3 linked regions of the Sus scrofa genome follow. The protein of the gene in region 1 interacts with the protein of each later gene in a pairwise test. Links are inferred from orthologs where the notes say so. Each region holds a gene or a part of one and is shown on either strand. Other genes may lie near its edges.

Region 1 (4,261 bases):
AAGTGGAGGCAGAGGATGGCATTTATTTATTATTTGTTTATTTATTTTTTGTCTTTTGTCTTTTTAAGGCCACACCCGCGGCATGTGGAGGTTCCCAGGCTAGGGGTCTAATCGGAGCTGTTGCCGCTGGCCTAGGCCACAGCCACAGCAAGGCCAGATCTGAGCCTCATCTGCGACCAACACCACAGCTCACAGCAACGCCGGATCCCTAACCCACTGAGTGAGGCCAGGGATCAAACCTGCAACTTCGCGGTTCCTAGTAGGATTCTTTTCCGCCGAGCCACAATGGAACTCCAGATGGTGGTATTTAAAGCTGGGTTCGGGCCCTCCCTTCCCCTGTGCTGTAACGTGCGAAGAACCAAGGATACAGCACCCACCCTCAAGAGGGCAGTCCTGAAGCCAGAGGGGGAATAGGTGGTGCAGGAGGCTCTGTAGCTAAACCAGCCTTTCCTCAATGTCCCCTCCTTTCTCTGCTATACTCTCTGCCCCCTGCGTCCAGAGGTCCTCAGCCTCTTCATTTACATGGAAGTATAAGTGCCACTAAACACCTATTTCAGCCCCATCCTAAGTAGGAGTATCTGGACTGGCTGACATTGGATAGGCTGCCTTAGTTTTTTTTCTCTTCTATCCATTAAAAGGAATACATATCTATTAAAATAAACGTTACTCTTTCCCACACTGTCCTTTCTGCTCCAGTCCCCACTTTGGGAAACTCAGGTCAAGGAAACTCAGGTCAAGGCCAGGGTCCAAGGCCTATTTTTTTTTGTTTGTTTTAGGGCCACACCCGCAGCATATAGAAGTTCCCAGGCTAGGGGTCAAATTGGAGCTACAGCTGCTGGCCTACACCACAGCCGCAGCAACGCAGGATCCAAGCCCTGTCTGTGACCTATACCACAGCTCACGGCAACATCTGATCCTTAACCCACTGAGGGAGGCCAGGGATCAAGGATGCTAGACGGATTTGTTTCTGCTGCACCACAACAGGAAATCCCAAGACCTGGTTCTTGTCAGGTGATTCCCTTCTCTGTGCCTCAGTTTCTTTCTCTATAAAATAGGGATAATCTTGGGTCTGCCCAGCCCAGCTGGTTGGTACGAATAGATCATAAAGTTGACCTGAATAGCTTAGCGTGGCACCTGGCAAGGAGTGAGCACTCCATCAGTGCTGCAGTTATTATTATTACTGATAATTTCGGGAGAGGTAGATTTGGGGTAAACAGGGTAGGTGGATTGGGGGCAGTGAGGGTGGGCATTTTCGCGTGAGGGCTGATGGGTGTCCCAAAGGGTAGGGACTCTCTTGGGGCGGGGTGGGGGGCGGGGCTTCCGTGCCCGGTGCCTCCGCCCCCCATTCCCCGCCCGCCCGGACCCCAGGGTTGGGGGGCGGGGGTGGCCCGCGCCTGGGTCTATCCCAGGTCACCGGCGGGGAATCCGTCCCGGCGCGCTTCCTCCTTCCTCCTCCTCCCGGCGGCCTGCCGGGCCCCTCCTCCCTGCTCGCGCGCTCCCTCCCTCCTCTTCCCCTCCCTGAGCCGCCGCCTCCTCCTCCTCCTCCTCCTCCTCCTCCCTCTCCCTTTCTCTCTCGATCTGTCTCTCCCGGCCGGGAATCCATTCCGGCCTGGGAGCCGGAGCGGCCTGGCCGCCGTGTGCCCGAACCCTTGGCCGTCCGGAGGTCCTTCCTCCCGTGCGTCTGCCTGCCGGTGCGTCCGCCTGTCCGCTGGCCCAGGTGAGCGCCCCCCACCCCGCCGCCGGCTCCCGGTCCCCGCCCGAGTGAGGGAGCCCCTGCCCGGGGACCACCCTGGCGTCGGATCGCCGGGCCGCTGGGGCTCCTGGCCCCCCCTTTTCCCCCCACCCACCCCCGGGCCGAGCTGCGATCCAGGAGCGCTGGGCCGGCGCACGGGGACGTGCCTGGTGCGGCCTTTTGTTGTGATGCCTGGGGGTGGGGGGGAGGGGGCTCTGTGGGGGGGCGTAGGGGTCCTGTCTGCGCTGGAACCCCCTCCGGCCCACCTTACCCCTACGGGCCCCTGAGAGCCGCGAGCTGGGCCTGAGCCCCCAGGCCAGGTCTAGGCCAAATCTGAAATCTGAGCCGGTCGGCGCCGCCTCTGGCCGCGGCTGCCCGGCCTGGCGCCCCTAGCCCGGGATGGGAGGTGATGAGGGGGCGGGCGGGGTGGGCCTGGGGGCGCCCGGGAGGGAGTGCTTGGCCAGGGCACCAGGATTTTCCCGTCTTCGTGGGGCTTTGGGTAGGGCCTGGTGCTGACGGCCTGAAAGGGACTGGGCCCGACTGTGCTTGGTTCCTGCTGCCCACAGCCCCCTAGACTTGCCTCTGGGCAGGCCCAGCCGCCTGTGTGCTCAGAAGTTGGCAAAAGTTTTGGGATTTCACCACCAGGCCGGGTCCATCTGCCTGCCCGGGCTGGCATTGGTGGTGGGTTTGAGTCCCAACAGGGACCACCACTTACTTGCCTTGCTGTGTGTCCTCAGGCAACTACCTGACCTCTCTGAGCTCAGAGTCCTCATCAGGCCCAGCTTGGGCCTGGCTGGGTTTACTACTGGGCTGTTGGAAGGATGGGGTGAACAGAAGGGGCTCACCTATAGGGTATCAGTTCAGGCAGACTTGATAGTGGCAAAGCCCTTGTGTGCCCCTGGGTCAGGCCTCCCAGGCTTTAGGGACTCTGTCTCTGGGTCACTAGAGGTGAGTCCAGGCTTAGCCACAGTACAGTTGAGATCAGACTTGATCTCAAGAATGGATCTGGCTGGTCCTGTGCTGACCCTCTTCTGGCCTCCTGGCTGGGGAGACAAAACAGCTGTAGGCTTCTCATCTCATAGGTGACCTGGGCCAAGGGACCGCGCGCCTCTGAGTCCATGTGTGTGCAGTGGGCATCCTCAGGGGAAGAATCTCTGTGCTTCTGCATGTAGGGGCTCGGCATGTAATAGGTGTTCAATAAATGCACACCTTACTGGATGAATTGCCTAAAAAAAGGTGGCTGGGAGGTGAAGTTGTTGGCCCAAGTGGGGTGCATCCCCAGAAGAAGATGGATTGGGTGCCCCCGAAGCCACTCCTAAACCCTTGAGAAAGAAATAGCCCTGAGCACCATTTTGTCCCCCAGCAGCTGTGTGACCTTAGGCAGTACGTGGCTCCCGCTGGCCTCAGTTTTGTTAAGTATAAAATGGGCCAGTGATCATGATCACTGCTGACATCTTCTGAGCGCCTCCTATGAGGGAGGGACTCTCATGTAGCCTCGTTTTGCTGGTGAGAAACCGAGGCTCAGAGAGGGGAAGGGACTTGACCAGGCCCACACAGCTTGAAGCTGGAGTGAGAGCCTCGACCTCAGAATCCCTGGTCTGGCTGCCCATGCACCCTTCCGATGAGGGGGGAGCAGTGGTTTCCCAGTGTGCGAACAGGCAGAGGACAGGGCTGGAAAAGACTATACCGATGAGTGATTGTATGGAAGCCACGCGGCCCTTTTAGTGATGTGGTGATGTGTGTGCCTTGGTGATGTGGTCTTTCCACCCAGGGAAGTGATTTACAGTGTGTCACCTCTCTCAGCTGACTGCCTGCCCAGGCCCTCCTGTGCGGCCCCTGGGGCTTGGCTCCTGAAGGTGTCCCTGCTGCTGGGAGGGCCCTCTCCTCTATGAGCTGCTTATCTGCTCTTGCTCTTTAAGGCTTAGCTCAAAGCCCACCTCTCCCAGGAAGGCCGCCTGGCTTTCTCCCACCTCCCCTAGCCTTTTCCTGGAGCATGAATGATCCCCAGCTCACAGCCAGTTCCTACATTGACTTCTTCCTTGATTGTGACCTGGGATGGAGGTGTTGTCTGGCTCCCCCAAGCCCCAGGAACCGGGGGGAGATGGCTCCGTGTCCTGCTGACATCCCTTGGTCCTCACTGACCCCATTTCCCCAAATCTGCCTGATACAGGCACCGATGATGTTCTAGGAGCTTTGAACTTGGGCCGAGCAGTGTGGGGATGGGTTAGCAGTGGGAGCTGTAGGAGGCATCTGGAGGCTTCCAGGAGGCGGTGATGAGAGGAAGCAGGAGTTTGCTCAACCGAGAAGGGGAGAGCGTGCTCAGCTACTTCCCAGGGCCCCTGGGTTGTGGGGAGTGGTCAGCCTTGGGGGGGTGGGGAGTGGGGGGGTGTCCTTGCTGGGGAATTGTGGACAGGTCCCTGGCTGCCAGGAAAGTTAAGTCTGGAGGGTGAGCTAAGTAGCAAACAAGTTGCCAAATATATTAATATGTAATCACGATGTGATAAGGGCTTAGAGAGAGATGTGAGGCGC
Region 2 (3,641 bases), on another chromosome or scaffold:
TACTTTTCATCCTTAAACTAGAAACAAGTGCATTTATTTTTATTATTTTTTTATGGCCGCACCCAAAGCATATGGAAGTTCCCAGACTAGGGATTGAATCTGAGCCTCAGGTGCAGCCATGCTGGACCCTTTAACCCACTGTGCCAGTTCACACCTCTGCAAGCCGCTGCAGTTGGATTCATAACCCACTGTGCCACAGCAGGAACTCCACAAGTTCCTTTCAATGTTGATACCAGTATTTGTAAAGATGCAGGGAATCAGGCAATCCTTGTGCAGTGCTGGTGTACTAAAGGAGGCATAAATTTGTGTAAGTAATCTGGAAAGTTATTGGACCATGAGGGTCCAAAGCCTACAACTATGTACACACTATGACCAGTAATCCTACTTCCATGAATTCAGCACAAGGAAAAGTTCAGAGCAAGTGCAAATATTTAGCCACCAGCATGCTGTTCACTTAATAACAAGCTGGGAAAAAGAAAAATCCACGTATCCAAGGAGAGGAGATTTAGATATGTTATTGTACATTATACTGCAGAATACTAAGCAGTCTTTAAAAATTATACTCTAGGCGTGTAGTGGATGGCATGAAAATATGACATAATACACTATTAAGAGAAAAAAGCAAGTTGGCAGGCTAAGTATGGCATGATTCCATTTCTGAATATACATATGTATTAAAACTTGGGAAAAAGATATATCGTAGTGTCAGTAGTGATTATTTTGGGGTGGTGTGATGAAAGATTATATAATATATGTAATCTACATAATTTAGTTTCTATTTTCTGAATGTCTATAATGAACATGTATTACCTTCATATAATAATTAAAAAAATAAAAAATGTTAATTAGTTTGAATTTTTAAATAAACATATGCTACATTGAACATACCATGGCGGAGGGGGGAGCTCCTCAAATTAACCAATGAGAGGGAGTCAAAACTTCTAAATAAAACCATTAAAAGTTGAAGTACAGACCAATGTATCACATGCAGACTGGCCCTCATTGATTAAAATGAATATACCAGCAAGTAAAAGGAGCAGGAAGGTGGGTTGAGAAAATTAACACTGGGGAGAGGTTTCTACAAGGTGAGGGGCTCAGAGGATGAGTTACCCGTGTGGTGGTAGTGCAGGTGAGTGGACATGACAACCAGCTCCTCTGCCATCTCTGTCCACCTGGTGCATGGACCCTTCCCACCTACTCTGGATCCGGGCACAGACCCATAAATGAACCGAGAAGTACCCTGTCTGAGGGTTCTAGTTCCATAGAAGGGAGGGGGCTTTTCCATTCCTGCCCTCCCACAGGCCCCAAGCAAAGGGCAGTTGGGTTGGGTGAAGGATGAAGGCAAGGGCAGCTGGTAAGGCAGGAAGATAAAGAGGAAGGCAGAAAAGGACCATAAGAAAAAAGCAAAGATGAACTAGAAGGAATAGGTCATCCAGGGCCTTACTGGCCCCCCCGGGGATTGAGGGGAAGATGGGCTGCGGTGGGATCCACATCTCCTTCCATGCCAAGTTTCACTCTGCAAAGACACAGGGTCTGATGACTGTAGTTAACAATACAGTTTATTATATTTGAAGGTTGCTAAGGGAGTACATCTCTAAGTTATCACAGAGGAGAAAAAAAAAACAACTTTGTAGGAGTTCCCTGGTGGCTCAGTGGGTTAAGGATCTGGCGTTGTCGCTACTGTAGTATGGGTTCGATCCCTGGCTCAGGAACTTGCCCTTGGCTCATGCATGGCCGAAAAGGAAATAAAATAAAAATCTTTGTAACTATGTGAGATTAACTAAACTTACTGTGGCAATCATTTTGCAATGTATACTTCTATCAAATCATTATATCGTACACCTTAAACTTACACAATGTTATGTCAGTGACATCTCAAGAAAACTGGGGAAAACAAAACCAAACACCAAACAAAAGAAAAACCCCAAAGGCCCAGGCTCAAAATACCATTTAGAGGAACCAGGTCGCTCCCAGGGAAGGAGCCAGGGGCAGAAGGCTGGCTTAGAGGAAAGCAAATTGACTCTACAGGCAGACCCCCCACCACCACCACAGCTTGGCCTCTTCCTCAGTGTCCTCAGTGTGGACCCTCGTGTGCATTAAAAAGAGGTTGTTCTGAGGACGCCGCACAGCACAGAGTGCTGCCCATCCAGCCGCAGCCAAGGTCAGGGGTCTGGGGAAGCTCCGGGCTCTTGGGGAGGGGGCGGTAGCCCCACTTACCTGGAGAGGAGGTGTATTGATCTGAGCAGGAAGAGGACGAGCTTCCGGAGAAGCTGGGCGCATGCGCGGAGGAAGACCTGGAGGGGAGGGTCCCTTCCTCCTCATCCCCGCGAACCGGAGGCTGGAAGGGAGAGGTAGAGTGTCAGAAGCTCGTATTTGGAGGCCCCCTTCCTGCCTCAGCTCTGACCTCCGACAGGATTGGTTTCACGGAGGGTCTATGGGAGGGGTCCCCAGGCTAGGGGTCGAATTGGAGCTGTAGTCACTGGCCTATGCCACAGCCACAGCAACGTGGGATCTGAGCGGCGTCTGCGACCTACACCGCAGCTCCTGAACCCACGGAGCCTGGCCAGGGATTGAACCCACGTCCTCATGGGTACGAATCAGGTTCATCACCACTGAGCCACAACGGGAACTCCCCTTCCCAGGTTTTGTGCGGGGATCCCCCTGCCCTCTAGCCCACTTGCCAGCCCTGCTCATGCTCCCGGCCAGCGGGTGGACGTACCCGGAACTGGCCGAAGTCAGCATAGGTGGGGTCATAGGTCTTGTGGTGGGCGTCCAGCAGGATGGCGATGATGCGCTGCTGCTCCTCCGACAGCTTAGGCCGCAGACTGTCCTTCAAGGCCTCCTCCTCCTTCCGCTTGAGGATCATCTCCCGCTTGCGCTGCACCTCCTCGTCCGTCAGGATGACTGTGGGGCGGGGAGGGGCGAGTCAGGGGGGCCGGGCCTGCACCGCCTCTGTGGAACCTCCCTCAGGGCGCAAAGGCACGAGGTGTGAGGGGGACGCCAAGGCCACGAGACGGATGGACCATCAGTGTTGCACGTTGAAAGGCAGGCTCGGCAGAGAGGAGGAAACAGGATGTGGGAGGTGGGACGGTGGGGAGCCTGGGATCTCAAGGACAAGGTGTCTGACTCTGGACAAACTGAACTCTGCAGGTTTTTGTTTGCTTTTTTCTAAAGTGAGACATTTGGACCATATGATCTCTCTCTTTTTTGTTTTGGGCCACTCTGTGGCATATGAGGTTCCCAGGCCAAGGATAAGGTCTGAACTGCAGCTGTGACCTACACTGCAACTGCAGCAACATGAGATCTTTTTTTTTTTTGTCTTTTCGGTTTTATTTTAGGGCTGCACCAGCGGCATGTGGAGATTCCCAGGCCAGGGGTCCAATTGGAGCTGTTATCGCCGGCCTATGCCGGAGCCACAGCAACGCCAGATCCGAGCTGTGTCTGCGACCTACACTACAGCTCATGGCAACGCCGAATCCTGAATCCACTGAGCGAGGCCAGGGATCGAACCCGCAACCTCATGGCTCCTAGTCAGATTCCTTTCCACTGTGTCACAACGGGACCTCCAATCCTTTAACCCACTGTGCAGGGCTGAGGATCTAAGTTGCATCCTGCTGCCACCGAGACGCTGCTGATCCCGT
Region 3 (4,118 bases), on another chromosome or scaffold:
CCACAAGCCCTGTGGGCTCCACACAGCAGCCAGAGGGTGGAGAGGGGAACAGAGGGAGGAAAGACAGCAGGCGGCCGAGAGGACGGGTAGCCAAAGCCCTGGGAACCAGGGTATCATTGGCCACGCTCTTTTCCCAAAAACCCAGTAAGTCAAGACAATCCTGGCTGTCTTGCCAGGGGCCCTGCCAACTTCCCACACTCCCCAAACCACCACTACCAGCAAGGGCGTGGGGTGCTGGGCGAGTGCTGCTTGCTCCATTTACTCTTCACGGGGACAGCACGACCTTCCCCAGTCCCCGAGAGTGCTCCTAAATGGACCGAGAGTGCTCCTAAATGGACCCGGCAGAGTCCCAAACACACCCACCCATGCAGCACCGTCTAGGTCCTGCCCTGCTCAGGCCACGCAGAGGACAGGGAACTGGACGCTGAGGTTTTACCTGTGGGCAGTCCCCAGCCTGTCACAGAGTTCTGAGGACCACGCCACCTAAGACCCTCAGATCTGAGCAAGAAGTTGCGGGGGAAGGGGTCCAGCTTCCAAGACCAAAGGATTTAGGGGAAGGGGAGCTAGTTAACTGGGGTCTGGGTCAATGCCCTCAAAACAGACCGGAAGGGCCATGCAGACAAGGCCCTTTCCCCCACAATAGACAGGGTGGCAGGAACCACGTCATGGCACATGTGGGTGACTGTGCCCGGCGGGGGAGGCATGGGGGTGATCAGGATGGGGCTGCCCACAGCTAGCTTCCTGCCAGGCTGCCACATGGCTGCAAGTAGGAGGGGGTCCAGAGAGGTTTCCCAGATGGAGGCAGGGGCATTTAGGGTCAACAAGAAGGATGGGGATTTAGGGGCTATAAGAGGAGGTGGCCAGGATTAAGCCGTTCCAAGCCCAGGTTCTTCTCAGCACTGCCACTGCATCTGTCTCACCCTCGCCAGTCTGGCAGGGAATGTCCTGAGGTGACCACCTCATGGGCATTTATTCATGCCCTCAAAGTCCCTCCAAATCCAAGATCCCGAGCTCCCAAGGCCTACGAAAGTCTGACCCCAGTGACGGTGACTGCTCTGTTTCAGAACCAACATGGCCCAGACACTCAGGAAGAACTCAGGTCCTCGCCGCCCCTCCCAGTGCACCAACATCTTTCAAAGCCACAAACTCCCTGACTCCACAACCACCACCCTCCTGCTCCCTCCTGCTCCAAATACTCTTTCTCTGGTTCCCTCCCCCAGACTCATCTCCACCCCTCCCAGGGGAAGCCCCAATGCTCCAAGCCACCCCCACTGCCACCTGGGGCTTCCCCGGCCCAGCCTCCCCATCAAGCACAAGGCCGTGGAGGAGAATCTGGGGCTTGAGCCCATTTCCTAGCAAGACTTGGTGTCCTTCCTGAACCACTTCCCCCCAAACACCCCGGCCCATGACCACGGCAGCCAGGCAGCCAGGGAAGCGGACAAGAGACTTCACTGAATCGCCTAACCAGGAAACTGGAGGAGGATGGCGGTCAGGAGCAGAAGTGAGGGTTGGGGGTAAGAAGCAGGGGGTGGGGGTGGGGTGGGGGAGTGTTTTCAGGAACAAGGCCCCTGAGAACATACACGGTACAACATACACGGTACACAGGCACACAGGCACACATGTGCACACGTCTCCCAGGCAGAAGGCAATCTGGTTACAGAAGAGGGAGCTGGCAGTTGGTGGAGGCCCAGGGTACCCCTCCACGCCAGCACAAAGGCATGCTATCCAAGGTAGGCTGGACAGTGGACAAGTGTCTCCAAGACTGGGGGCTTTTCTTGTATGATTTCCACATGAGCTGGTTCTCATCTCCAGCCTAGTGCACGGCCCCCTTCCCCCAGAGCAACCCGACAACAGGGCCATGCCCGGAGAGGAGAAAGGGCACTGCCAAGCAGATTTTCCAGCTTCCCCCTCCCACATACACATCTGGCTAGCAGCTTCTCCACCTCGTGGGTGGCACCAGGTCCCAGACACCCTGGGCAGAACCAAGACAACCAATCTATTCCATCCTTCTCATACCCCCACAAGCTTCCACAACCCCATGGTGCCTACAAACCCAGAGACATCCCTCCCCTGGCTGCACTGGCTCCCCGTACCCAATTCTGACGGCTCCCCGCACTCCACGGGGGACACCAGCTGAATGGGCCCCGCCTCCCAACTGGCTGCCTCAGATGGGGTGGGCCCCCGGGCTGATTCTCCCCAAACCACAGGGCGGCTCAGATAACAGCAGGGAAAGAAGGAGGGGGCTAGTCCGTTGGGCATCTGATCTCTCCCCAAACAGGTTTGAAAATCTTTTTGTTTTGTTTGTTTGTGAAGAGAAAAAGCGAGAGAGAGCAGGAGTTCCCAGCGGCGGTTCTGCCACAGCTCGGACGCCTGAGACACGCGCGGCAGACGGCCCCAGACGCCTCACGGCTGCGCGCGAAGACACGGGCGCAGACAGACTCACAGACGGGGCTCCCCCACCCCGAGCACGGCGGCGGCGGGTTGGGAAGCCCAGGAAACCCCAGGTGGCCGTCCGAACCCGCCCGGCACTGGGTCTCTTCCACCCCGCGGGTCCTATCAGCAGCAGACCGAGGGGCGACGATGCCTGCGAGGGCCCGGGGCTCTCCAAAATCCCCGGGGGGAGAGGTTACCTCGCAGTGGGGGGGGACGCAATCCGTCCCGGTCGCCCGCGGGCACAGCGTCTGCCCTGACCCTGCGCCTTGGAGCCGCTCCGCGTCAGGGGTTGCGGGGTCCAGGGAGACGACCAGTTGGGGGGGGCCGCGGCTCAGGGGCGCGGGGCGAAAGCAGCGGCCATGGCGAGTCACGTGCGGAGGCTGAAACTTTACCCGGAGCCCCAGACTGGGGGGGCGGAGGGTACCGAGCCGCGGGGAGGCCCTCAACCTCCGGTCCGCCCCCGTCCTCCCACAGACCAATCACCATCCAGGGGCGGGCCCACAAGATCACGCCCCCCTTTCTCCCTAATAGACCCAGGGAAAGGGTGAGTCTTAAAGGAGCCGCGCCTAGCAGAAGCTGGACCGTGGGAATCTGGGAGAATCCCTCCCTCTGCCCCCAAAGGAGAGACTCAGGGCGAGGAGGCGAAGAAGTTCTGCGCGAAGAACGGAAAGAAGGCTCAGTGGAGAAGGGACGGCAATGTGTGGTATCACACTCCCTTCCCTCCGACCACACACACCCACACTCACAGGGGCAAGTATCTCACACACACACACCTCTTGCACCTAAGCCGGGGTTACACAGACACACACACACACACACACAACCTCTTGCACCTAAGTCGGGGTTACACACACACACACACACACACCCTGATGGCACCTAAGCCGGGGTTAGAGAGGCGGCAACGTAATATGGAAGTGAATACAGTGACTCCGCCCCTAGCTGTCAAGCCCCTAGACTCCCATAATTATAATCTTCCTCGAGGAACCCCTTGGAACTGAGAGCTGTGTGACCTTGAACAAGTCTCTTTCTTTTCTCTGAATCTTAATTTTCTTACCGGCAAAAAAAGGAGTGCCAGAGCAGGTAGACGGCCCTCAGGCACACCTCCTCGCCTCTCCCGCCAAATAACCTCTCCGGCTCGAGTGGGTCGGAGGACCTTCGGCCCAACCGTACCCCTCAGCGATCCCTAGTTCCCTTACCCCCAATGGACAGCGGCTCGTGGATCTTTCAAGAGCCGAGTAGGGGGCGCCCAGGAGCACTCGTACATGCAAGGGACTCAGTCTCCAGCTTCTTTTTCCTGGCCCAGGCTGAGGAGCCAGGAAAGCTCGCGTTCTTGTTCTAGCGGGGCAGGATCTGAATCATTCTCTCTGCGGAGACCTCAACCCCCAGCAGAGCCACAATTCCCCTCCCAGCCTGTGGCTCCATTTGGAAGGACCATCTCCCCATCTACTGGGGTGGGGGGCGGGGAGGAGGAAGAGGAATCAGTAGGGAACACCCCTCCCCTTTCCTGGTCGGAGAAGTGGCCACAAGTGCCCCCCACAGGACTTCCCACTGGAAGGGGAAGTGCCACACTCTCAGGCGTCCACCCCAGTGAGGAGGCTCTCAGCCTGACCCGACTGGCAGAGCTCTCAAACCCATCGGCCCGACGGCCCCTGCTTTACAGACAAGGGACCCGAGGCTGGGAG

Evidence for each region.
Region 2: the proteins of SRC (region 1) and VDR interact in a two-hybrid assay, tested with the Homo sapiens proteins (2 studies listed by BioGRID). The link is inferred for Sus scrofa from reciprocal best matches to the Homo sapiens genes SRC and VDR.
Region 3: the proteins of SRC (region 1) and RARA interact in a two-hybrid assay, tested with the Homo sapiens proteins (2 studies listed by BioGRID). The link is inferred for Sus scrofa from reciprocal best matches to the Homo sapiens genes SRC and RARA.

Annotation. Positions count from the first base shown.
Region 1 is NC_010459.5:40,469,621-40,473,881, forward strand, and holds the start of SRC (proto-oncogene tyrosine-protein kinase Src), read left to right. Parts: upstream 1-1,368; 5' UTR 1,369-1,717; intron 1,718-4,261. UniProt on the Homo sapiens protein: Non-receptor protein tyrosine kinase which is activated following engagement of many different classes of cellular receptors including immune response receptors, integrins and other adhesion receptors, receptor protein tyrosine kinases, G protein-coupled receptors as well as cytokine receptors.
Region 2 is NC_010447.5:78,217,866-78,221,506, forward strand, and holds part of VDR (vitamin D3 receptor), read right to left. Parts: intron 2,905-3,641; coding exon 2,720-2,904; intron 2,339-2,719; coding exon 2,218-2,338; intron 1-2,217.
Region 3 is NC_010454.4:22,082,873-22,086,990, forward strand, and holds the start of RARA (retinoic acid receptor alpha), read right to left. Parts: upstream 2,888-4,118; 5' UTR 2,631-2,887; intron 1-2,630. UniProt on the Homo sapiens protein: Receptor for retinoic acid. Retinoic acid receptors bind as heterodimers to their target response elements in response to their ligands, all-trans or 9-cis retinoic acid, and regulate gene expression in various biological processes.